Struthio camelus: one gene and its partners. The protein of the gene in region 1 interacts with the protein of each later gene in a biochemical or structural test. Links are inferred from orthologs where the notes say so. Each region holds a gene or a part of one and is shown on either strand. Other genes may lie near its edges. The genes, in order: TFAP2A, KCTD15 and CITED2.

What was found.
Region 2: the proteins of TFAP2A (region 1) and KCTD15 form a complex in vitro, tested with the Homo sapiens proteins (2 studies listed by BioGRID, with this or other methods). The link is inferred for Struthio camelus from reciprocal best matches to the Homo sapiens genes TFAP2A and KCTD15.
Region 3: the proteins of TFAP2A (region 1) and CITED2 form a complex in vitro, tested with the Homo sapiens proteins (2 studies listed by BioGRID, with this or other methods). The link is inferred for Struthio camelus from reciprocal best matches to the Homo sapiens genes TFAP2A and CITED2.

The regions. Positions count from the first base shown.
Region 1 is NC_090943.1:101,341,131-101,348,584, forward strand, and holds the start of TFAP2A (transcription factor AP-2-alpha), read left to right. Parts: upstream 1-4,137; 5' UTR 4,138-4,262; coding exon 4,263-4,313; intron 4,314-7,454.
Region 2 is NC_090951.1:11,807,289-11,815,626, forward strand, and holds the start of KCTD15 (BTB/POZ domain-containing protein KCTD15), read right to left. Parts: upstream 3,205-8,338; 5' UTR 2,617-3,204; intron 2,476-2,616; exon of another isoform or gene 2,173-2,475; coding exon of another isoform or gene 2,170-2,172; intron 2,102-2,169; exon of another isoform or gene 1,684-2,101; intron 1,283-1,683; 5' UTR 1,209-1,282; coding exon 1,197-1,208; intron 1-1,196. UniProt on the Homo sapiens protein: During embryonic development, it is involved in neural crest formation. Inhibits AP2 transcriptional activity by interaction with its activation domain.
Region 3 is NC_090944.1:75,328,321-75,336,724, reverse strand, and holds CITED2 (cbp/p300-interacting transactivator 2), read left to right. Parts: upstream 1-5,002; 5' UTR 5,003-5,508; intron 5,509-6,152; 5' UTR 6,153-6,159; coding exon 6,160-6,876; 3' UTR 6,877-8,168; downstream 8,169-8,404. UniProt on the Homo sapiens protein: Transcriptional coactivator of the p300/CBP-mediated transcription complex. Acts as a bridge, linking TFAP2 transcription factors and the p300/CBP transcriptional coactivator complex in order to stimulate TFAP2-mediated transcriptional activation.

The DNA of each region.
Region 1 (7,454 bases):
TCCCTCACCCCACACCTTTACATCTGCTCAGCCCGCAGGGCCCAGCCTGCGCTGACTCCGCTCCGCCGGGGCAGCTCGGCGGGGCCCCGGGGGGGCTCTGCGCGGCGAGGGCATCCCGTCTGGACCCGCTCCGCAGGCGCAGAGAGCCCCCGGCGCCCCATCTCCCACCTTGCGGGTGGCTGCCCCCCCCTGCCCGACCCTCTTAACACGGAAGGGAGTTGGGGGAGATCGTCTTCATTTGGCCGCTCTTTGTTTCCCCCTAGCCCCCCCCCCCCCGCTCACAGCATCTCCATTTCCCTACTTGTGCTGGTTTATTTCCCCCCCCCCCCGGACATCTTTACTTTGTCTTTGGGGCTGCTATTGTTGGGGCATTGTTATTATTATCACTATTGTAGCTGGCGGCGGACACGCACTCGGTTGCAACTTGCCGCCGAAAAAAATTTACCGGCCCGGCAGGGCGGGGGAGGGGTGAAGGGGAGATTTGGGGGGACCTCACCTTCCCCCCTACCGGCGGGCAGCGTTGCCCCGTCAGGGTGCTGCGGGGGGGGGGGGAAAGGGGGGAGCAGCGGGGCAGCACGGCGCCAGCTGCCCCGGGGGCAGCGTGCCCAGGGCACGGCCGGAGCCGGGGGGTGCCGCCGGGGCAGGGCGCTGCCCGCCGCCGCCCGGCCCCTCGCACGGACGGGCACGCGTGGAGGTGCCGCCGACAGCTCTTCCTCCCCATCTCCTCCTCCTCCTCCTCCAGGCGCCCCTGCACGGGCCCCCTCCCCGGCGCCCCCCTCGGCGGCCCGGCGGGGGTAGCGCTGGGGGGCCGGGGCCGGGCCGCCCCCTCGGGCCGGGCCGGGCCGGGCGCGCTGGGAGCGAGGCGGCGGGGGGCAGCGCGCAGGCAGCGCGCAGGCGCGGGCAGGGAGCACCCAGCTCTTTATGGCCAGGTGAGACAGTCCTGGTGCAGGTAAGGGCAGGATTTAGCCGCGGGGAGCCCGGGCGAGCGGCTCGTACTCGCAGTCCATGACCGTCAGGGAGCTGGGGATACTCAACGCGCAGCCAGGATGTCTATTCTTGCCAAAATGGGGGACTGGCAGGTAATGCGACCTTCCTTTTTTATTTATTTATTTTTAATTTTTGCTTTGGGAAGGGAGGCAGAGCTGCGGCCGCTAAGGTGAGTGGCCCGGAGCCCCGCTCGGGGGCCGGGCAGGGAGCGGGGGCAAAGCCGGGGCCGGGGCTCCTCGCCTGCGGCTCTCTGTGGCCCGAGGTGGCCCCTCGCTCCGGCCAGGCCTTGGCGCAACAGGTCGGCAGCGGCGGCAGTCCGGGCCGGCGTGGGGGGTGCGCTGAGCTGCGCCGGTCTCGGCGGGGGCAGCGAGTCTGCCCCGTCGGGGCTCACAAAGGGACGCGTGTGATCCCTTGGGCCGGCGACAAAGTCCTGTGGCTTGATCCGAGCGTCTCCAGGATCGCTTAAAAGTACCGAGGGGAGCAGTGGGGCCTCGCCGGGGCGGGCGAGGGGTGCGCTCGGCGGGCCTGGGGCAGGGCTGGGGGGGGCGGGTGTGCGAGCGCTTCCCCCGGGGCAGCCTCGGCGAAAACCACGCTCCCGGATCCCACGCTGCGGAATAAGTGTCGGGAGCCTCTGATGAAGACGGTCCTAGTGGCGTGAGAAAAAATGAGCTGAACGAGTTTAAGCAGCAAGAGGAAAGGGCTGTAGGTGCCTCTCTTCCCTGGGCCTTACCCAAACCGCCCAAAAGGTCCCACCAGAGAGGGGGAGGAAAAAACCACCGCAAGCCAAAGGCAAGCTGACACGTGTGGACTTACAGCGGACTCCCACATGGAGACACCCCGAAATCGTTAGTGCTTCCTGGTTTTTGCAGCCACGCAGGCTGGAGCGCCGAGATTTTGCCAACTAACGAAGCAGAAGATGAACTGTCCTGTTCAAACACCTAGGTCTTTATTAGCGAAAACGACTTTTTTTCCAGGACAGTCCGGTGCAAGATGGGAGCCCACCTTCTTCTCTACTTCTCGAATGCCACAATTAAGTCTTTCTCTGGGCCGCATCGATTTTCTTAGAGTAGAAAGAAAGAAGAAAATGCAGTGAACAAATATGCACTTTTACAGTAAAAGCAGCCGTCCTTTTATCAGCTCGGTGCGTTGAAGTGACCGAAAGAGAGGGCGCTTTTTCTTTTTCCTTTTTTTCTTGTACTGAAGTGAACTCTTATGTAATCCCACTTTCGGGCTATCTTCCTTGAAATCTCTTCCCGACTTTATCTTACGTCCCTTCCTCGCTTTTGCCCGTCCCCCGGCGGTGCCGGGGCACCCGCCTGGCTTGGCCGCGGCGGGGTCGGGCTGACCCCCGCGGGGCGCGCAAGTTGCGCGGAGCGCGCTGCGCGTCGCCTCCCCGTTTTTCCGGGACGCGTTTCTGGGGGGGGGGGGGGAGAGGAAGCCGGGCTCTCCGCTACGCCTGAGCCAGCCCAGCCTGGGGCAGAGGAGGGAAAAGAGGCCCCCCCCGGGGCACAAGCGGGGCCGAGGGCAGAGCCGGCCCCGGGGGGACCAGGCCCCTCGGCAGCCGCAGTCGCCCCCTCGGGCCGTGCCGCTCCGGCCGCCCCCTGGCTCCACCGGGACGGCGCTAAGTCGTGATGGCCCCATGCGTTATTCCCCCCCCCCCCGCCTCCTAGTCCTCCTCACCCCCCGTATTAACTAGGCTTAATCTGCCAGCTCCATTTGAACCTCAATGGGAGTAAAAACAACAATTTACTCTCCTGCCACTTGCAGACAAAAGCGATGGTCAAAAAGACCATCGGGGACGGGGGGGGGCAGGGAAGAAGAAAGAAAAAAAAAATTTTTTTTTTTGAGGGGGTAGAGGAGGGTGCAGGGGAACCAGCAGGCCCCGGAGCCCTTAGGCTTTGGGAGCCCGACGAGAGGCGTGTGCGCGGCCCTTCCCCGCTCTGGGGAGCGCCTGCGCCAGGGCCACCCTGGGGCCGAGGTGCGGCTCCCCCCGCGGCCATCCGCGCCGGGGGCTCTTGGCCCCGCGGGGCACTAAATCCGCCTCGACGTTGGTGGATAGCCCCGGGTGATGGGCTCCCAGACCGAAAGGGCAGGTTTCCCGTTGGCACCGGGAAATTTTGAGGTGGCCGCTGCACGCTGGGGAGCCGAAACCCGCAGGGCGGGGAGCCAGCTGGGGCGTGTGCGGGGGCTCCCGCTCCCCCTCCCAGCCGGGTCGGGACAGCGGGGGGGCACCCTGCTCCTCAGCGGATTTGGGAGCCCGGCGGGCTTGGGCCAGATCTGGGGCAGCCTCAGCGGCTGGCAGGCCTGGGCCTCACCGCGGCTCGGCCCAGCTGTTTAAACCGGCGTGGGATCGGCGAGGAAAATGAGAGAAAATGCATGGAGCAAGGCTGGGCACCTGGGAAAAAGAAAAGAAGGGTGGAAAAGAAACCCTAAAGGAGGGCAGAATGAACGCTCATTGAGCTGCACATTGTTAAGCAAACGAAGCGCTCCACCTCAGGAACGACCAAAGTTTTACTATGGTCATTGTTTTGTCCCTTTGCTGAAGTGCATGCAAAAGACTTTCTGGCTCCTGATGTATTCGCATTGCTGCGCACCCAGTTTTATCAGGGAGGTTACGTTGTATATCTTTTTTTTTTTTTTGGAAGATCAATAGCCGAAAGAGCCGAGAGGAACACAAAATTTTACAGAAGAAGGACGCTTTCCAAATACACCCCCCTAAAAGATCAAATCAAATCCAGAGGGCAACAGAAGCCTCCGCAGACTGTAACCCCGTTAGAGCTTCATTTCCCCTCTCCTTGGTTTCTTTAAACCCCGGGGAGAGGAGAAAAAAAAAAAAGTGGTGGCTCGATGGCTAGCCCCAAACCGTGTGCACATGAAGCCTCTCTGATTCCCCTCGCCCGCTGGTGTCCGGCCGGCGGCCCCGGGCGCGGTGGGAGCGGGCGGCGGTGGGCTGCGAGCCGCCGCGCCGGGGCGGGCTCCCCCCGCGCCCGGGCTCTGCGGCTGGCAGAAAGCCTTTCTGCTCGTGGGGCCTTTATACCTGTGTCCATTGCTGCAGGTTGTTGTGCTGGAGAGCAATTGGACTATTGTTGATATGCTAATGAGGCGATTAGGCTGTTGGTAAAGAGCTGGAAAAGGGAAAAGTTTCTACCATTAGAGGGAGATCTCAGAGCGCGCACAGGAGCTCGGCAGAGCCTCCGCCAGCCGCACTCTGCATACCAGAGAGGCACCACTTTAGGGAAAGACAGGGAGAAACAAATCCTCTCTCACGCCAATCCATGAAAATGCTTTGGAAACTGACGGATAATATCAAGTATGAGGAATGTGAGGTAAGCGCTTTCCTGGGCTGGGGCAGAGCCCTGGCCCGCCAGCCGGGAGCGGGACGCTGCAGCATCCATCGATCTCTGAATTTCGTTTAGGAAAACTTCTGCTCCTTCGCCAGGCTTCTTTGCAGTCCTGCAGCTGGAAAGGGGCTGGGGATCCTTCCCCAGGAACTTCGGGGCTTGTGGAAAGCCGGCTTTGTCGGAAGTATATGAGGAAAGAAAAACAGGACGGAGAATGCAGCAGCAGCCTTGTCTATAGGTAGATCCTGTATAGATAAGGCTCTGTAGGATGCTACACTCATCCATATGGATGGATGGATGGCCGAATGAATGGACGGATGAATGAATGAAAGGGTAAAAAGACAAAGGGAAAAGAATTATTCTTACATGCTAGGTACCCGAGGCATCCCAATAGATTGGCTCAGGACCGGCGCTTAAAGTAAGCATCTTGGAGGTAGCTGCTGGTTTGGTAATGCCGAGCTGTACATTTTTTTTTTTTTTCAGTGGTCACTTGCTGGAGTGAAATCAGGGGGTTTGGAGCTATATTCCCCCAACCTCCTAATTTTCAGGCGCTCACTCCCATGGCTTTGAGCAGTAATATTTTAAACTCTCGAAAAATTAAAAATCACCTAATTTGGTTTTGGAGCCGTTCAGCACAGGTTGTGTGCATGAGTGTGTGTACGTGCATCCATATTTTTAGAGCGAGGCGAGTGTCTATTAATCTGACAAAAAGGGAAAAGAAGACGAAAAAAGAAGAAGAGTGATGCCCAGGACAAATGCCTAGCCTCCAACCAACGAATATTATTGTCACACGTTTCGCCAAAGTTGCCTGTGCAGTGCATTTAAACCCCGCAATAAAGGATTCCACTTTGCAAATGAATGTATTTATTTGGTCGCAGCCCATGCGGGAAGGCACCTCCAGCCTCGGCGGCAGCCTTTCCGACACACATTTCGGGGGAGAAGGGGGGGCACGTTCCCATCCGAAACCGCTGCTGCTTTTTGTGATGCCGTTAGGGTAGGGAAGGGACCGAGGACTCGTCAGACGCAGCGAGGACTAAAATATTCAGTATTTTAGCCCTGGATCGAGCAGTTCGGGATAAAGCTGTTTCCCAGTATGGGAGCTGAGCTCTGAGATCGAGCGGCTGTCGGATGCTTGATTTCAAGGAACGAGGTGTCAGGGTATTTTATTTTAATTTTTTTTAAGGCGAAAAAAGAAAATCCTCAGCTGGATTTAGGGAGAAAGCCATGTCTCGACCCGTTCTTCTCCCCAGGATCGGTGTTTATGTGTGCACGTGCGAGTGTGCGGATTTCATCGTAAATGGCTTTTGTTGCCTTGTGCTAATGGGACTTTGCACCGAGGTGCTACCAAACACGATGCGGTGGCCGCTTCCCGGGAGCCCCGGTGGCTTTTGTCTGTGTGTGTCCGTGTGCGGTTTGTCGCCGGGGTTTTGCTTGGAAGCAGATAGGAGCGGCGAGCTGACTTGCAGAGGAAGGAAAAGCGGGTGGCTTTGCCCTGACGGGGAGTAGGACCTGCTTTCGGGGAGGAAAAAAAAATTAAAAAAAAAAAAAAAGGAATAAAAAGGCCAGGAGCCCTCTGCTCCCCCTCACGGCCCGGGGAGGTCATAGCTCCCCGGGGCGCGGGGCCAGGAGCGGCGGGGCGGTGCGCGGAGCGCGGCGGGCGCCGAGGGAGCGCGGCAGCGGGCAGCGGCGCGGAGCGGCGCGGAGCGGAGCCGGTCGGGGGAGCTGCCGGGAGTTGCACAGCCAGTCTGACGGGTTGTGCCGGAGCCTCGGCTTGTCTGGGCCGGGAGAAGCGCTCGCCTTGCCTCTGCCCCCGGCTTCCTCTGCCTTCCCCCCCTGCCCGGCCCTGCCACCCTGCCCCTCCCCGCTGCCTTTACCCCCCCGCCTCTTCTTTTCCGCGACCCCCGGGAGGGGCCGCGGGAGCCCGGCGGATGCTCGCCTGCCGCCCCAGCCGCCCGGCCCCGGGCTGCCGCCGGGCGGGAGACGGCGGCGGCAGCGGCGGCGGAGGAGGAGGAGGAGGAGGGGTAATCAGAAGACGGGGAGACACCCAAAAAAAAAAAAAAAGAAAGAAAAAAAAACTTTCCCAGCCGGTTTCCGGGACGCGGGGCGCGGAGGTGCTGCGGCTCGGCGGGGCGGCCGCCGCGGGGGCAGCGGCGCGGGCAGCCGCGGGCGCGGGGCGCCGTCGAGGGGCATGGACGGGGCGGCGGCGGCGGGGGGCGCCCCCGCGGAGCCCACCCCGCGCAAGGGCGGCGGCGGCGGCAGCGCGGCCGAGGGCGGCAAGGGCCCGGCGGCGGCGGGCAGCCAGCAGCCGCTCTTCTCCCTGGCGTTTGAGGCCGGCTACGCGCAGCAGCACCAGCCCGAGGTGCGCCCCGCTCCGGACCGCCGGGCTGGGGAGGGCGCGGGGAGGGGGGGGGGAAACGGGGCGGCCGGGGAGAGACGGGGAGGGGGGATCCCTCTCCCCCTCCCTTCTCCTTTTCGCCCCGCCGCCCCCCTCCGCACTCCCCCCCCACCCCTTTTCTGGCTCCCACCCTCTCCCTCTCTCCGGATCTCTTTCTCTTTCACTTTTGCATGCCCTGCAACCTTTTAAAATGTTGCCCCTTTCCTGTGATTCGTCAGACGCAGCGGCATGTCCCCCCTCTCGCTCTCCCTCTCTCTCTCTCCCTTTTTGTCTCTCTCTCTCTCTCCCTCTCCCCCATCTCTGATTAGATACACTGATTCTTCATTCAATGGACGTCATTTAGAACAGGCTCTGCCTTGAGTTGCCTTCTCGCTTCACGCTCGATTTCCAGCCATTCTTCCCTTATTAAGTATTCGTGTAATATTAATAGTCATGAATATCTGCTATTAGGAGTCTCCAGGAAGGCAGCAGATCTGTTATTAGGAGCTCAAGTGAAGCGGCAGCTAAGTCAAAGGAGAAAAAGAAAGAAAGAGACAGAGGAAAAAAAAGGATTAAGAAACTAACACACACACTAAAAAGAAAAAAAAAGCCAAAAAAAAGCGCAAAACAAAAAAAGCCAAAAAAACAAAAAAAAGCAACCAACTTTGACTCCTCATATCACGCCAGGATAGAGAGCTCGCCTTTGCAACATCAGATGAAGGGCAGCAGAAATCGGTGCAAGTTCTGATGGA
Region 2 (8,338 bases), on another chromosome or scaffold:
ATTGTGCTCACAGTTGTTCAGCTCTCTAGGGGTGATTAAACTAGCTATGCTGCTACAGCTTGAGATGATTTCACTGAATCGTTTCTCCATGAAGTTGCTTCTTTGCTAAGCTGTTATTTTAACCATAAAAGGTAAACAGAAGGCAGTTGTAAGAGCTCCATTCAGCTCCGTGCCCAGGGCTATAACCCTAGGGCAGAGAATGCTGAAAGACTGCAGAATTTTCCAGGGTGTTGCCTTTCTTGCTCTAAAGCCTTCAGGAATACTGTTCATTTAATACACACTCTAGATGATACATTTCAGATCCTACTAAAAGAAAGACTTCAAAAGTGTAAGAACTTTTGGGCGGATGAAGCTTTCCCACCTCTGCACATAGCTCGGGGCCATGGTAACCAATACTGCTGTTGATGTTGGGAAAATACAGTAGAAATAAACTGCGCAGAGCAGAGCAGACAGATAGGGACAAGGGAGGTGAAAGGTTGCAGGGAAGAAACAAGCAGCAGTCTGGAAGGGTAACGAGAAAAAAGGGAAAAGAATGAAAAAGGAGGCAGCTCTGAAGGAGGGACAAAGTTAAATCAAGGAACAGACACTTAAAAGACTACAGATGGGAAGCAAGACTAATTAAGGATGTAAAAGCGCTTTGTTTCTAAAGTTTATTGTTGCCAGGATAAAAATTAATTGAAACTAATGCTGTTATTCACTCGTGCAGTTTAATTCCTTCATGCACATTTAAGACATGAAATGAAAACTGCAGGTTTAAGGACCTGCCATGAAACAGCTCTCCCCTCCCCAGAAGACGTGGGAAGGGGGCATCCCGGGCCCACATGCAGCCAGCTAGCGGTGGGTAGCAAAGGCGCAAAGTCCAGTCTGCGGCAGGACCACTGGCTCGTCTGTAATGAGATCAGCACCAACATCTGTTCCCTGACTGGTTTCTTTATTGGATTCGCGCTGAAGCTTTTCTTCCTTTTTTTTTTTTTTTTCCCTCCCCAGAGCCCTTTATTTCTTTAACGGCAGCTCTACCATAGCTCGAAGAGTAAAATCACCCACTGCAGCCCCTCGACCTGCCCATCTCCAGCACTCCTGGGCAACACCAGGCACAGAAGTTGACCTGGCGCTGCCGTGACTTCACGGCGGTGCCTGCGCTTGCAGCGCCCGCACCCCGCTCAGCCAGGGGGTCCAAACTCCACACTCGCAATTACCTTTGTCTCCATAAACCCGTGCAGTGCGCGCTCTGAATCTGCCTCCTAAGCCACTCGCAGACAATAGTTTATGCCGTGAACCCAGCCTAAAGACAAAGAAGGGATCGGGTTATTTGAAACCTCTGACCAGATGGCTCCAAAATTGAAAGTCCATAAACATTTGCACACACCTCCACGCTGGCTCACAAAATACCCGACCGAGTGACAGAGCAGATCGTGCCCAAAACTTTTACGGGGGAGGGGGGGGGTCTCACTGTGGAGCTCCCGTTACCGCCCCCCCCCAAAAAAAAGACAGAAAAAAAAGAAGAGAAAGAAAAAGAAAAAGGCTTTCTCCTCCCCCCCCAAGCCGCCTGTCTCTGGCAGTCTCCAGTCTATTTAGTGCAAGTTTCACGTCACCCAAATGCCTTTCCCTGCTGATGGTCAGAGAAATCACCAGTAAGCAACGCACCCCGGTCGCTGAACTTCTGCCTTTTTCTTTTAAACATACCGTATGCCCAAAGGTAAATTCAAGCAAAAAAAAAAAAAAAAGAAAAGGCACAACATGGCGTCCTTTACTTATTCTCACATAACAAGAAAGGAGATGTCTTAGATGAATGCAAAAAAAAAAAAAAAAAGGAAAAGCCGACTCTCCGATCCTATACATGCTGTGCACAGCCAATGGTGGTGCACATTAGCCAGGCTAATGTATTAATTTTGCAGAAGTGTGCCACATCGCACGCAGCAGCAGCGATGCAAACTATAGCCTGGAGTGCTCGGAAGTCTCCCCCGAGCCGAGCCGAGCCGAGCCGAGCCGAGCCGAGCCTTGCACTCTCACTGGCGCCAGAGTTTCATTCACCGCCCGCCCGCGTTTCCCTGCGCGGCTCGCCCCATTGTCGCCCGCCTTCCCTTTGTGCCGCGCCGGCCCCCGCGCCCCGGCCCGCGCACCCCCGCGGCGCGCAGCCACCCCGCCCGCCCGCCGCGGCCCCGCGCGTACCATGCGAGCGCGCGGAGCGAGCCGCGCTGCCTGCGCCGCGCCGGGGCTGCGCCGTCCTCAGAGCCGGGGCCGGGGCGGCAGCGGGAGCGGCAGCGGGAGCGCGGGCACCCCGGGCCGCGGGGCTCCGCCGGCGCTGCCCATGCTGGAGCGGAGCAAAACAAAACATACACACGCGCACGCACAGCGCGCACACACACCACACACACACACCGCGCGCACACACCGCGCACACACACACAGGCGCGCGCGCCCGCTGCAAACGCGTCCTGTAGCTTTAAAAAGCACCAGCCCTCCGCCGCCGCCGCTGCCTCTCCGGAGCCAAGAGCCGAGCGACTTTCAAGAAGAGGCACTTTCCAAAAAAAAAAAAAAAAAAAAAAAAAAGGGCCAAGGCGCGCCCGGGCGATGCAGCGCCGCGCCGGCAGTGCGCGGCCGCGGCCGCTTGCTTACCTTGCGCGCAGAAGAGAGCTGCGAGCGAGCCCCCCTGTGCTCTGGGCTCGGCTGGGTTTGTGTGGTGATGGGCTCGCTTTTGGCTTTTATTACTATCTTTGCTCCTCGGATCCTGCTGTGATTATTATTATTTTTAAAGCTGCTCTCGCTCTCTTTCCCCTGTCTCGCTCCCTGTTTTTTTTTTTTTTTGCTGCTTCTATTTATTTTGTGTGTGTGTGTGAGGGGGGAAAAAAGCCTTTAAATGAAACTGCCGAGGCTGTTATGAGAAGAAAGGCAATAATCCCGTCTCTAAATAACAGAGGGAAGGGAGAAGAGGAGGAAAAAAAGCGAATTCTTGCTCAGGGCTTTGCAAACGCCTGCAGGGCAGAGGATTAGGCTACAATTAGCTCAGCCCTTTGCTCTCGCCCGAGCTAATTTTGCGATGAAAATTGGATATTTTTCCCTCCTTTTGGTGAGGATTTCCAGATTTATTCCCCCCCCACTCCCACCCCCCGCAAAAAAAAAATAAAAAAATACAACCCTTGAAAATGAAACACGGCTGGGAAGGCGGCCGGCGCCGCAGCCCGCGCCCCCGGCGCCGCCGCCCGCAGAGCCCCTCCGCGCCGCGCGGGCGGGGCCGCGGCCCGCGCAGCCCCGCGCAGCCCGGCCCGGCCCGGCCCTGCCGGGGATAACGGTTCGGTGTTGGGGAGGATCAGGCCACTGTCACGTCCTTCAACAGACTTACTGAAAAGAAGAAGGAGGAAAAAGGGGGGAGGGAAGGGGGGGGGGAAAAGCTGATTTTAATCATTGTCATTTGGTCTGATGTAATATTTCCCCAGGCATTTTCAACGGGGCATAAATTTTCAGCTCCCAAATAAGTAACACAGGGCACGTTTCTCACATCTCTTGACTCCTCTGTTACAATTAGGGTAGCACCCACTCTGCACTTGTTGATAAACTAGATCAAGTTTAAAAATAAATAATAATAATAATAGCCACCACCTCCCGCCGCCCCCCGGGCCGCGGCCAGCCCCCCCGCGGCGGCGGGCGCAGACGGGGCCGCGGCCGCGGCCGCCCCCTTCCTCCTCGCCCTCCGCTAATGTCTCGCATTGTAAACGCCAAATTTCCTGTAGGCCATTAAAACCAAATGACGTCTATCGACATGCATTGTGCTCCGCCGAGCGCGCCCTGGCAGCCCGCCCCCGGCCAAACGCGCCAGCGCAATTAGAGCGCGCGGCGCCGCGGCGCGGGGCTCCGCGGGCGCGCACCGCCGCCCGCGCGCCGGGGGGGCGGCGGAGGGGGGCGGAGAGGGGCAGGAGGGGGGGGGAAAGGGAGGGGGGAGAGGACAGCAAAACCCGCCCTCAACTTTCAGCCCAAGCAGGCCGAGGTGGCTCTGCGGCGCCGGCGGGTTTGGGCAAGCGCCGTGTGCTGCCCGCGCACCGCGCCCGCGGGCCCGGCCGCGGGGTGATGGTCGGCGGGGAGGGGTGGGGTGTGGGGGGGGAACAGGCCGCTCCGCGCCCCACCGCGCCGCTGCTCCGCGGGGCGCCCCGCGGCCGCCCGAGCCGAGCCGAGCCGAGCCGGCCCGCAGCGCGCCCGCGCAGCGGCGTGCGGAGCCCGCGGCCGGCGCTGACTTGCGGGGCTGCAGCGCCTACTAGCCGCGGAGCGCGGCGCGGCCGGCGCAGCGTTACGTAACGCGCCGCCGCCGCCGCCGCCGCCGCCGCCGCCGCCGCCGCCGCCGCCGCCGCCGGGGCGCTCGGGCCGCGGGCGCGCGGAGGGGGGGAGGGAGGGAGCGCGGCTGCCGCCGCCCTCCGCGCCCGCGCCCGCACGGAGCAGCGCGAGGACGGCAGAAGCCCCTCGAATGGAAGTTGTTTTTTTCCCTGTAAAGTTATCTTCCGTGGCAGGAATAAACCGAAACTTTTTTTCCTAAGGGTAGCTCTTTTTTTTTTTTTTTTTTTTAAGAGTACAAACTACAGGAGAAGAGGGAAATTTTCTCATTAAAGTTACATCCCTGCAGTTAGTTCAATTACTTGATATATGCAGAAGATGTTGTAAATTTAAAGATTTAAATAGCTTACAAAGATGCCGGAGGCTCCATCAGTTAATTTCCTTAATTTATGGATTTTTAGCTGAGCTTCTGAAATGAAAAGGAGAATGAGAACTAGGTCAGCTGAGAGATTTGCATCCAGAACAGACTCAGATTTGTTTTCCTTGACCATCCCATGGGCCCAGGTACGTTGGCTCGCAGGGGTCACGGCTCCACCGCCCCCCGGGCCGGGCCTGCCCGCAGTGCCTAGGCGGAGCGCACGGCACGGTGGGCTTTCTTCTAAAATAACCCCCCCCGGCCCCCGAGCATAAGCCTGTCGCCCGGCAGCTGCCTCGCCTGGTCGTTGGACGAGCGTCCCTCACCGGCCGCGCTGCTCAACAAGTGGAGGAGAAGGAGGACAAGCGCCACTGAGGCTCAGCAGCCTATTACGCGGCCCCGGTTAAACAGGTCGCGTTCGCTGGGGTGCAGGCAGACTGCTTGGCAACTTAATTTTTACTTCCTCTGTGAATTACTAGCTGCTAAGTGAAAAATAAGTATGATCATCTTGGGCAGCGATCAGAGCATCACAGAAGTACGATGCTTCTGCGTTAAAGCACGGTAAAGAAGAAAGAGAAGATCTAAAAATATTGCACTGAACAAAAAGCAGAAATTGGTTTCTGACTCATCCCAACACGTCTGCGAAAGGCACCATTTAGTCGTGCTACACGGCAAAGGCGTGCAGGGCGAACGAAGATTGTGTGTGTTTGTGAGTATTTGGATCAAAGCAAAGACACACGGCAGTGCTTGGGACGAGGAAGATGTGCACGCGGCGTGTGACTTGTGAAGGGCTGTTCTTACGGTGTCTAGAAAAGGACAATGTACTTGGGAGCTCTGAGTTTTCGTCTTGCCTGTGTTGCTGCTGAGGGTAATAAAGGTGTGCAGTATAGCTCTATGTGCGCTCACTCATTTCTTTCTTCTCATTCAAGTGTTCTTCTGTTGTTGTATTTCAATATGTATGAATATATACATATGAATTAATACTTAAAAGATTGATACAAACTAAACAGTTTTAGGAAGCAGCATTGCCATATGATTAGTATTGGTGTTCATGATTTAACATTTCTTTTCCCACTAGATGAAGTTTCTAAGATTTGCAAGGTACATGTCAAGGACGGGTATATAAATGGATTTTTATTTATTCACAACTCCAAGACTAATTGCTTCTCTTTGCCTGAAGGCCAAGAGATTGGTTTTAATATGACACTTCAAAAGTATTCATAGAACTACAGAGATACTAAGTGTCATTGTTTAAGAGAGAAATCTCGCTGTGGTACTTGTGACCCTGAAAATAGAATCTTCCACTTTATTTTAAATTCTAACATTGTTTTTCAGAGTTTCACTTAAAGCTGAACTATTAAGAACTGTACAAAGGAAAATATTAAATACTATGTAGTGAACAAAGAAGTAATTTTAGAAGTGAACATAACTTACTTTCTCAAAATTCTGTTATGCTCCTTATAAAGCAATGCAAAATTTATGACACAAGATTCCTGAGCTCAGTTGTAGGATATAATTAAAATTGATAGGTTATAACTTATCATAGGCGCTCTAAAAGTTCTTGGCTAAATGCTCAGCATGTGTTTTTATTAAGATATTAAATACTTCAAAATAAATACTTTGCATCTTTCTTATCAACAGTTCTTTGTATTCTGTGCAGATGTTTAAAATTGGACAGCAACATTTTGTAACATGCGTTTTATCTTATTATTCCATAGTTTGTTTCATTTTTTTCAGTAAACAAGTCGAAAACTTGTTGTCACTTTAATGCAATGTGAAATAGAAGCCCATAAAGAACCTCAGTGCATTTTCTCCAGTTTTTCATGTTTTCCAAAACCAACACATTGTGCATATTTTCCAGGATGGAAAATGACCAAGTCATGAAAAGATACAGATTTTAAGGTATATAAATCTATCAAAAAGATGTTCCATATATACATACATATACACACACACATACATATATATGTATATATAAAACCAGATTTCAAATGTATTGTCTATGTGAAAGGAAGTATTATGAACTGCAAAATAACATGAGCTTCTGTTTACACCATGGTTTCTAAACTGGAGTATCAACTTCATAACTTTAATTCCTTATTGTTCTTAAAGGCCCTGCATGAATTTATTCTAGCAGGCCTTATCCTAGCTTACTGCTTATTCTTTTCCTTGTATTGTAAGTCCTAACTTGAGGCTTCTTATGTTGTGTATCTTAACCTGAGGTTTGATCCTGGCTTCCTGGCGACGATACTGATATTTCCAGTAACTTCAACAAGGCAGAAAGAAACCTACAGACTACCTGATCCTCCTCTTTCAAACACCTCATACTCTCGTGGGCATTTTCAACTAAAGCAGTGAATAAGCGATAAAATGGATCATTTAATGAAACGTTTAAAGCAAATAAGTGAGAATTAGATTTTTGTTCCTTTAGAACAAAGGAGTCTATGTCTTTACATAGATTCACACTCTTCCCAGTCATAATTAAGAGACTGCTGTATTCTAAATAGAGTTTGATTTGGGCAGGGGGATGATTTGAGTAGGAAATTCGTGCTTCAAAGCTGGTTGTTGGACTCCAGTGTGCCTTAAGTCAGTAAATCGTATGCGACTTTGTTACCTTCTGTGAAGTTTCATGGATGTGACGGAGTTTAGCCGCCTCTCGCCGAAAGAGAAGATGGGCCGCGGAGGCTCAGGGAAGAGCCGCGCGTCTCACCGCCGAGAGGAGGCAGGGCCCGGATCCTGTGACTCGCACCAGCCCCGCCGCGAGGCAAAGAGAGATGGGAGCAGAAGGTGTGGAAAGGCTGATGCCACACAGGCGTTGAGCCAGGGGGAAAGGTTTATTCCTGTGAGAAACCTGAAAATATTAAGCACCTTGAGATTCCAACACTTGCTACTGTCAGTTGATGTACAAGGAGTACAAAAAGAAGCATTAAAGACCTCTCCCAGTTCAAGCAAGTTTTCAAGCCGGTTGCCACGCCGGTCATTCTGGAATGGGAAGTTGACCTGGGGTTTGCTAATTAAAACAAATAATCGTCTGTCATTTGTAGGCAGATAAGGGATTTCCTGGGAGCAGTAAGCATGAGCATGCAAAGAACAAAATCTGATCATTAGGAAATCAATGAGTTTTGTCACTCTTTTTCCTTGAATGATCTTCTACTCTTTTCAAGAAACGAATTGCTGCTGAGTGAGTTTACAAACCATTACTTTATTGACTAAATTCAGACAGAGTTTTTTTAAACCATCCATTATCCAACTCCTAACTCATGACACCAGTGTGATATAAAGAAGCAATCCACACTGGAACACAGAGATTAAATAGCTTGTCAAGAAATACAGTATTGAAAAGATTTGCTCATCTCTTGTGTTTCCAACTGTTACAAGCCAAAAATAGTACCCAAAATGAAACTTTGGACACAAGGACCGAGATGTCCTGTGTCCGTTTCAGCACAGTCTTTCTCAGCTTTTTACATTGCCATTTTGTTGTGTTCTCTCACTCATCTTTTTAAACAGTGACAATATTGAGGAATATTTTAAACCTGTTTAAGTAACTTACATGGCATTAATTTTTTGCTACTTATTAAATAAAGCTTACCCATATTACATATGTCACGGAGAGGAAAAAACATTTGTATGGTTGAGCGTAATCCATTCATTGGTTTATTAGAG
Region 3 (8,404 bases), on another chromosome or scaffold:
CCCTTAACTTACCTCCAAATGGTTTGGGAAGTTCATTGCTTTCAGTAACTCTCTTTGCTCTTTATAAAGATTTGTTGCTAATAAATACACTGGTAACCACTGTTCTCAGCAGAGTAACCACTTCTAATCAGCAGAGACATCAATTACCTTGTGAAACCCAGCAAAGAAAAAATGAGTCCTAGGCTGACTAGCGGAGATAGCGCATGCTCTGTCTCTCTTTACATTTCCACCTACTCTCCCATGCTGACCAACTGTAAGGAACACAGCACAGATTTTCTTTTGCTTGGACATCAATCCGTTAATTCCTTCTAACATACACCACTACTGACAAAAATTCCTGTTGGGTCATCTCTTCCACACCTGGGCTGCATAGTTATATGTCGGACTACTTTATCTCATTGAACAGTAGCCTTCCCATATAGAGAAGATCATTGAAACAGAAGGACAGATGGTAAGCTCTGGGGAACACTGGCCGGTGTCTGGAAGCAGCAGAGGGGAACTGTGACAATTTTAGGAAGCTTGTGCCTGGTACTGAACTAACTGAGTCAACCTGAAGTAAACCTCTCTCTTCTGGTTCTGTAGTCTTGATTTTGTTGTTATTCAAACTGAAGAACAAGCAAGGTCATTCCCTCCCACTGAGATACTCTGAGGATCTCATGCCCAGGCCCATAGCTAACCTTGTGCCCACTGTACACTTTCCCCCATCAAACCATATAAGAATAATCACAGAATCACAGAATGGTTGAGGTTAGAGGGGACCTCTGGAGATCATCTAGTCCAAACCCCCTGCTCAAACAGGGTCACCTAGACCACATTACTCAGAATTGTGTCTAGATGGCTTTTCAACTTCTGCAAGGAAGGAGACTCCACAACCTCTCTGGGCAACCTGGTCCAGTGCTCACTCACCGTCACAGGAAAGAAGTTTTTCCTCATGTTCAGACAGAACTTCCTGTGGTTCAGTTTCTGCCCGTTGCCTCTTGTCCTATCGCTGTGCACCACTGAGAACAGCCTGGCCTCATCCTCTTGACACCCTCCCTTCGGATAGCTATACACATTGATCAGATCCCCCCAAGTCTTCTCTTCTCCAGGCTGAACAGGCCCAACTCTCTCAGCCTTTCCTCATAGGAGAGATGCTCCAGTCCCTTCATCATCTTAGTAGCCCTTCACTGCACTTGCTCCAGGAGCTCCATGTGTCTCTTGTATTGGGAGCCCAGAGCTGGACACAGTACTCCAGATGAGGCCTCACCAGGGCTGAGTAGAGGGGGAGGATCACCTCCCTCGACCTGCTGGCAGCACTCTTCCTCATGCAGCCCAGGATACCATTGGCCTTCTTGGCCACAAGGGCACATTGCTGGCTCATGGTCAACCTGTTGTCCACCAGCACTCCCAGGTCCTTCTCCTCAGAGCTGCTTTCCAGCAGGTCAGCCCCCAAAATGGGTCTCTCAGGAAAGCATGCCAAAGAATGGAATTTTCTCCTAGTCAAAAAACCCTACTTTTTTATCCCACTGACCAAAAACCACTGTTCTTCTCACAAAGGGAAATTCGAGGAGAAAAAAATGCATGTTGAGAGACTGAAATAGATTTCTATGCTTCCTGGGTGCCCATCTGGAACATGCTTGTCAAGTTCATCGTTTTTTCTAGAGACAGAAAATGAAACCAGCCAGAGCCATCCAGCCTCACTGCTGGTAAAGCAAAGAGCTGTGGCCCTCCGGCACCACAGTTCCCTCTTCTCTCCCAAGTGCCATGTGCCCCTGGGACGGGTCGGACTGAAGGAAGTTGTGAGCGGGTCAAAAACAGGAGTAGCTGGAAAATCATGACTTGCCTTCTCAATAAGCTTCTCAAGCTTAATCACTTCTACAGAAAGGGCATTTCTTCCAGGATATCATTCTAATATAAATTTTCCCATCAGATAACCCTAGCAGATGTCCTAAACTGAGTTTTCCTGACTGCTTTGTGCCAGAGTGGAACACACAGAAATTTGTCTCCAGGGTGATATGGGAGAAACAAGTCACAGTGAGTTACAGATTGTATTTTCAGGGTTGCCAAAAAGGACTTAGAGATCCAAGTCCTCCTGAAATTCGTTGCCCTGTATATCCAGTTCCTGTGATGTATCCCTAGAACTGCAAGCATTCATTTAACATTTTCAGCAAATACCTGGAAAAACATCATCTTGGATTCTCCTTTTTGATTTTCCTTTCTGTTCTGTCACACTCTGCAGATGTTCCAGTCGGGAAGGAATGCGCAGGGTAGCCTCCAGGGTCAATTCCTGTATGCCCTTCTGACTGAAAATGTTAACACCCTCCTGAGGATCCATCTTTTTCCTTCTTTTCTACTGTTGTATTTGATATTTCTCAGTGATTCTTTCTAGATGGGCACAGCAGTCACATTCTGCTTTCAATGATACTCAGATTCTTCACTGAGGAGTGATTTGGTGAACGTCTCCACTTTCATCCCCTCCCCTGGCCATCTCCTGTGTTCTCCAGATATGCAGTGTCCCACTTTCTTACTATTTGACTGAAGAACCAATTCAGGTATGCAGAAGACTTTGAAGAATACCACTGAAAAGATTGCTTTAAATAACTGTGGCTCAGATTAGGAGTGGCAAACAGATGAGATTCATAGTTTCCTAGTAGCTCTACAGTGATGGATTCATGCTTTGTCCTGCATTCCCTTTGCTGCTTGTCACCAGTCTTCAAGCCATTTCCTGGAAAGCAACCAACTGATTGTATTCCCATTTTGTTGTAGAATGCTGTGGCCATAAACCATCTAACAATGAAAAACTTGGCTCATCTTGCACCACACTGCTGAACTTTATCTGGATCGCATTGCAATCCCTGATGAAGAAAGATCCATCCTGCCTAATTCTTTGCAGATGGGCTATAAATACCTGAAAATATGTTTTGTATGAGTGTGTCACAGAGGCTGTGACATGCCTACTATTTCTTCTGGCAGTCTCATGTCAATTCTCCGTAACTAACTTTAGCACCCAGTACCAGCTTCCAGCACCTGAAAACCAAAAATAGGAATGGGCATTCAAAGTGTTGTGATATAATACACATTTGGCTTTAGAAAGGAGCTCAAACTTAAGGCAATGGAGAGCAAAAAGGCACACCAATCTCACCATGGATATGTGACATTAAACAAACCACTTGTCATGATACTCTGCTGAGTAATTGCCACACGGAACAGGACCTTCTTATTATTCACTGTTTTGCCCTGTAAAACCTACACAACCCCGAGAAGGAGAAATCTGTAGAAAGCTCTTGCTTCTCTGACCATCCCTGGCTAGATAAGAGGCCCTGCTTCAATAGCACCTCCCAGAAGTCCACCTACTCACACACATGAGAAGACCAAAATGTGACATCATGGTAGGCATCCTACTTAATCCCACAAGAAATCTAGCCACAGGATGAGGTCACTTCCTCAAGGTAATGCTGACACTTGCAAGACTTCCTGTTCTCCCAGCCCTCCAGTTCTATCCTCGCCACCCTTCACAGCTGGGCTTTCTGCAGCGCGTTCTTCTGGCGCCTTGTACGTTCCCATCCTCGGCTGCCTGCTCGCAGGGCTTTGCTTGGATTGCACCAGCCACCCAGGGAATTACCCTCTGCTGCACCTTGCTGCACCCGGGAACCCAGCTCAGCCTCCATCACAGCGGGAGACAGGTGGAGTTAACCCTCCTTTTGGTTTCGCCTTTGCAATTTGCTGTGGCCAAGCAAGGGCCTGGCCCATCCATAAGGGGGTAAGAGGCCAGCTGCATTGACAGGCCTGCTCCTGATGGCCTGTTTGCCCTTGCCCATGCCTCCCCTCAGAAACCTGGTGCACCTCTCACGCTCTTGTGTCCTTGGACAGCTCGCAGAGGAGCAGAAGCTCCAGCTCAGCCTGCATGATGGCTGCTTTGACCTCTGAAAAGGTGCCCACGGTTCTTGGGCTCCTGGGGGGCAGCCTGCCTAGAGCTGCCTCCTCCGCAGTCAAGCGGGCAGCGGCCCAGTGCCTGGTCTTGGGTGCGGAGAGGGGGAAGCCAGGTGAAGACACCACAGAAAAAAGGGCATCATCCAGTTCTTCTCTGCAGCTGGCCTCTGCCCTTCCCCCTCGGTGTTTGCATGCTATTTCAGCCCAGCCACCCTTCAGAGAGGAGCTGGTAGATTTGGAGCAAGAGGTGCATTTTGCAAGCACAGGAGCGCTGTTGTCGGGGGATTTTGTGCGCTCTTGCCCCTGCTGGGCCGGAGCAGGGCCAGTCACCGCCACTGTACTGTGAGGCAGGGTACTGCCCAGAACAAATAGGTGATAGGGGACGTGCCCAGCCGGGAGGAGCACGCTTACAAAGCATGTATCCACGCTCTGCATTTTTTTTTCCTTTGCCCTTCCAAGAAAACCCGTCGTAATAACCCACCAAAACGACCTAGGGTCAGCACTCGCCTTGCCCACGCGGGACGGCCGGCAACTCGTGGGGCAAACCCGGTGGAGGGAGAGCGTGTGCCGGCACCCCCTTCTCCTCCACCTCCGGCATGCGGGGCAGCGGCAGCGGCGGCGGCGCCCATGTCTGTGGAAAAAAGTGGATCTCGGATCCCGCCGCCGGGAGAGGGGCCGGCCCCGGGGGAGCCCACGCGGCGCCCCGGGAGAGCCCGCGCCGGCGGGGCCGGGCACCTGCGGCCGTGGCGCCGCCGAAGGGAGGACGAGCCTGGCTGAGCCGGGGGCAGCGCTGCCGGAGCGCCGAGCCCCACGCGTGTCCGCGGCCGGCGGCGCCGCGCCTCGCAGCTCCGCAGCGCCCCCCCAGGGTGGGGGCCGGCGGGAATGACCGGAGCTGGGCGAGCAGCGAGAGCGGAGCCGGCTAGTTTGGGCTGGGAGGGTGCAGGGGGGAACCCCCAGCTGTGAGTGGCCCGCGGGGTGCGGGGGCTCCGCTGACCGCCCGGCCCGGAGCCCCGCTCTGCCCACGGCGGGCAGCGCTGCCGCGGGTGGGCGGCGCGGGCTCCTCCGGGCAAGAGCACAAGTGATCAGCAAACACACGTGTGGCTCAGCCAGAAGGAACAGGATTCCTTGGATGCCTTCCAGATCCGCCTGGCCCTTTCTGCGTGTCTTCGTGTGTGTGTGTGTGTGTGTGCGCGTGCGTGCGTGCGTGTGTGTGCGTGTGTGTGTGTGTGTGTGTGTGTGTGTGTGTGTTCGTGTGTGTGCGTGCGTGTGCGCGCGCGCTGGGGTTTTTTTTTTTTCCCCCTCGCTTGCTCCAGGTTTTACTTCTGGTTGCCTGTAAGGGTTTTGCTCCTCCCTTCTGAAATCCTATATTAGCTGTGGCCAAAGCTGGGTAAGAAACACAGCTCATTGTTGGCAAGTGCCGATGAGCCTCGCGGAGGAGTGAAAAACAGCTTTGGGTCTGCGGCAGCGGCAGCAATAGCAATAATATCACCATCACGTAAGCGCAGAGGAGAGAGCCAGGGAAGCCCTCTCTATGCTGGGTGACTTTTACTGACTGATTTCACCGACACCTTTGAAGCGACAGAAGAAAGAAGCAGGGAGGTGAGTGTGGAGCTTCTGTGGCTGGTGTTGTGTGTCCCTTTTGTGTGCAACAGGAAAAAATGTGACTGCTTAAATACACGGGGGGCGGGGGAGGGAAGGTAGTCCTCAGCTGTGTGGCTTAATCTCCTTATCTGTGCAGTACTATATTTAAAAAAAAAAATCTTCGGACTTAATTCCAAAAGTTGCTGACAAGGGCTAGATGGGACGTATTTAATTCTTTGCTTGTTCTCTGCAAGTTATCGAGAGTGTCTTTTAAAAATGTTCCCTTTCCTGGCAAATCCAGGGGGCTTGGGAGCCTTTTGAACGTGTTGGGGAGGAGGTGGTCGTTGCTGTATGCAACGCTTTCCGCTGATAGGTATGCAGAAGTTGAAGTGGGAAGGCGTGTTGCTCGTTGGATTTGCAGAGGGGACTGAGATTTTTGCACTGCAGACTCGTCTTTTATTTTTCGCTTTGTACTCTACGGTAGAGTCGTGGTAGGAGATTTTTTTTTTTTTCCTCCCTCTTTGAAAGAGAGGACGGCGGGACCAGCCAAGTCATTTCTCTCAGGGACAGATACATGCAGCGAGTTCCGAAGAGGGAGATTTGATGTCTGAGGGCTGGTTTTTTTTTTTTTTTCTTAATATATTCCCATGCTAACTTTCTAGGTGGGAAATGGCAGACCACATGATGGCCATGAATCACGGGCGATTCCCTGACGGATCCAGCGGGCTTCACCACCACCCTGCCCATCGGATGGGAATGGGTCCCTTTCCTACCCCCCATCACCACCACCAGCAACAGCAGCAGCAGCACGCCTTCAGCGCCTTGATGGGCGACCATATACATTACGGAGCTGGAAATATGAACGCAACTAGCGGGATCAGACACGCCATGGGGCCCGGGAGCGTGAACGGAGGGCACCCTCCCAGCACCATGCCGCCCGCCGCGAGGTTTAGCGGCTCCCAGTTCATGGCCCCCCCCGTGGCCAGCCAAGGCGGGCAGCTCACAGCCAGCATGCAGCTCCAGAAGCTGAACAACCAGTATTTCAGCCACCACCCCTACCCTCACAGCCACTACATGCCGGACTTGCACCCGGCGAGCCACCAGCTGACGGGCAGCAGCCAGCATTTCAGGGACTGCAGAGACCCCAAGCACGGCGGCGGCGGAGGCGGCGGCGGGCCGCCCGCCGGCCCCCACGGCCCCGCGGCAATGCTGCCCCCCAATGTCATAGACACTGACTTCATCGACGAGGAGGTCCTCATGTCCTTAGTCATCGAAATGGGCCTGGATCGCATCAAGGAGCTGCCCGAGCTGTGGTTGGGACAGAACGAGTTTGACTTCATGACAGACTTCGTTTGCAAACAGCAGCCCAGCAGGGTGAGCTGCTGATTCATTGAAAACAAACAAAGGACTTTCTATCGGTGTGAATGAAAACATTCCCTTAGACACAGTGTCTCACTTTTCAGGGCTTGAAAAGGTGAGAATCTGGAAAGCAGAGTAAACTATGCGCTTGTATAAATCTTTTTTTTTTAATTGCTGCCACTTTTTTTTTTTTTTTTGGGGTAGCTTTGACACTCACCTCCCCTCCTGTAGGAATAATTTCTAGCTAACTCTGCCTTTTTATGTTGTCCTCCCCCTGCCCTTCTCTCTCTTAATTTCCTTGCAGTAACATGCCCATGATTTCCACAGTGCTGAACTGTTAGATATTAATCTTGGCAAATTGCTTAATCTTGTGGATTTTGTAAACGATGATTTCCAATGACTTGAACTGCATTCAAATTCTGAGTGAACAGGGGAAAAAATTGCATTAGTTGGTTGCATGAACTTTGAAGGGCAGATACTACTGCACAAATGCTGCCATCTTGCTTCATTTTTTAACTATGCATTGCAGTGCAGACTAATAAATATATATATATATTTTTTTGAATATGCTAAACTGGAAGCTTAACAGATGTGGGCCAAACCTTTCCGAATCAGGAAAAGTAATACTGTTACTTAAAGTCTGCTACCCAGTCCCCCTCCCCCATATGTACAGACAATAATATGGTGTGGATGGAATGTTGACTAGTGGCAAACATTTCACAGTTGGTTTTTTTTAATTATAATTATTTTGTTTCTGTCTTCAGCATTTTGACACTGTGCTAATATAGTTTATTCAGTACATGAAAAGATACTACTGTGTTGAAAGCTTTTCAGGAAATTTTGACAGTATTTTTGTACAAAACATTTTTTTGAGAAAATATTGTTAATTTATTCTATTTTAATTTGCCAATGTCAATAAAAAGTTAAGAAATGCTTTAGTTTTTCTAGAAGTCATTTACCAGTATTTTTCTTCAAAACTCTCCCCGCTGTCCCTGGTAAGTAGAACATCTATCTGTACAACTGTTGTTGGTGTTCAAAAAGACATTCCAAAATAGAAAGTACACTGCACCCATATATATGTCATGGTGAACTCAGTAGGTGAGCAGGATTTAAACATACTTACAGCATAAAGCCTCATACGTAACATTGTAATATGCCTGTCAGTGTGGTTTTATGAAAAATAAAGTTGCCAAGATGCAACTTTTTCTGTGACTTGCCAACATACTTGCTTTAAATGTAGTTGTCCAGAGTTATGATGCATAAAGTATTTATTATATTTATCTATTAAACTTGTAATTTTATAAATCCTCTTTCACTTATATAGTAGACTTTGTTCTTTTGTATATTTACTATCTCACCTGGAAGACCTATGTAAAAGATCAGCTGTGTTTAAGAAATAAGTATTTGTAACTTGGGGAAGGAGGGTGGTGGGTTTTGTCCTGTATCTCTTCTTTCGCATGGTTTACACAGGAGATTGCTGCATCAGTCCAGATCTGCATCACATCAAAATCAGCTACATTTCTAGTGATGTAGAAAGCAATAACTAACATATATC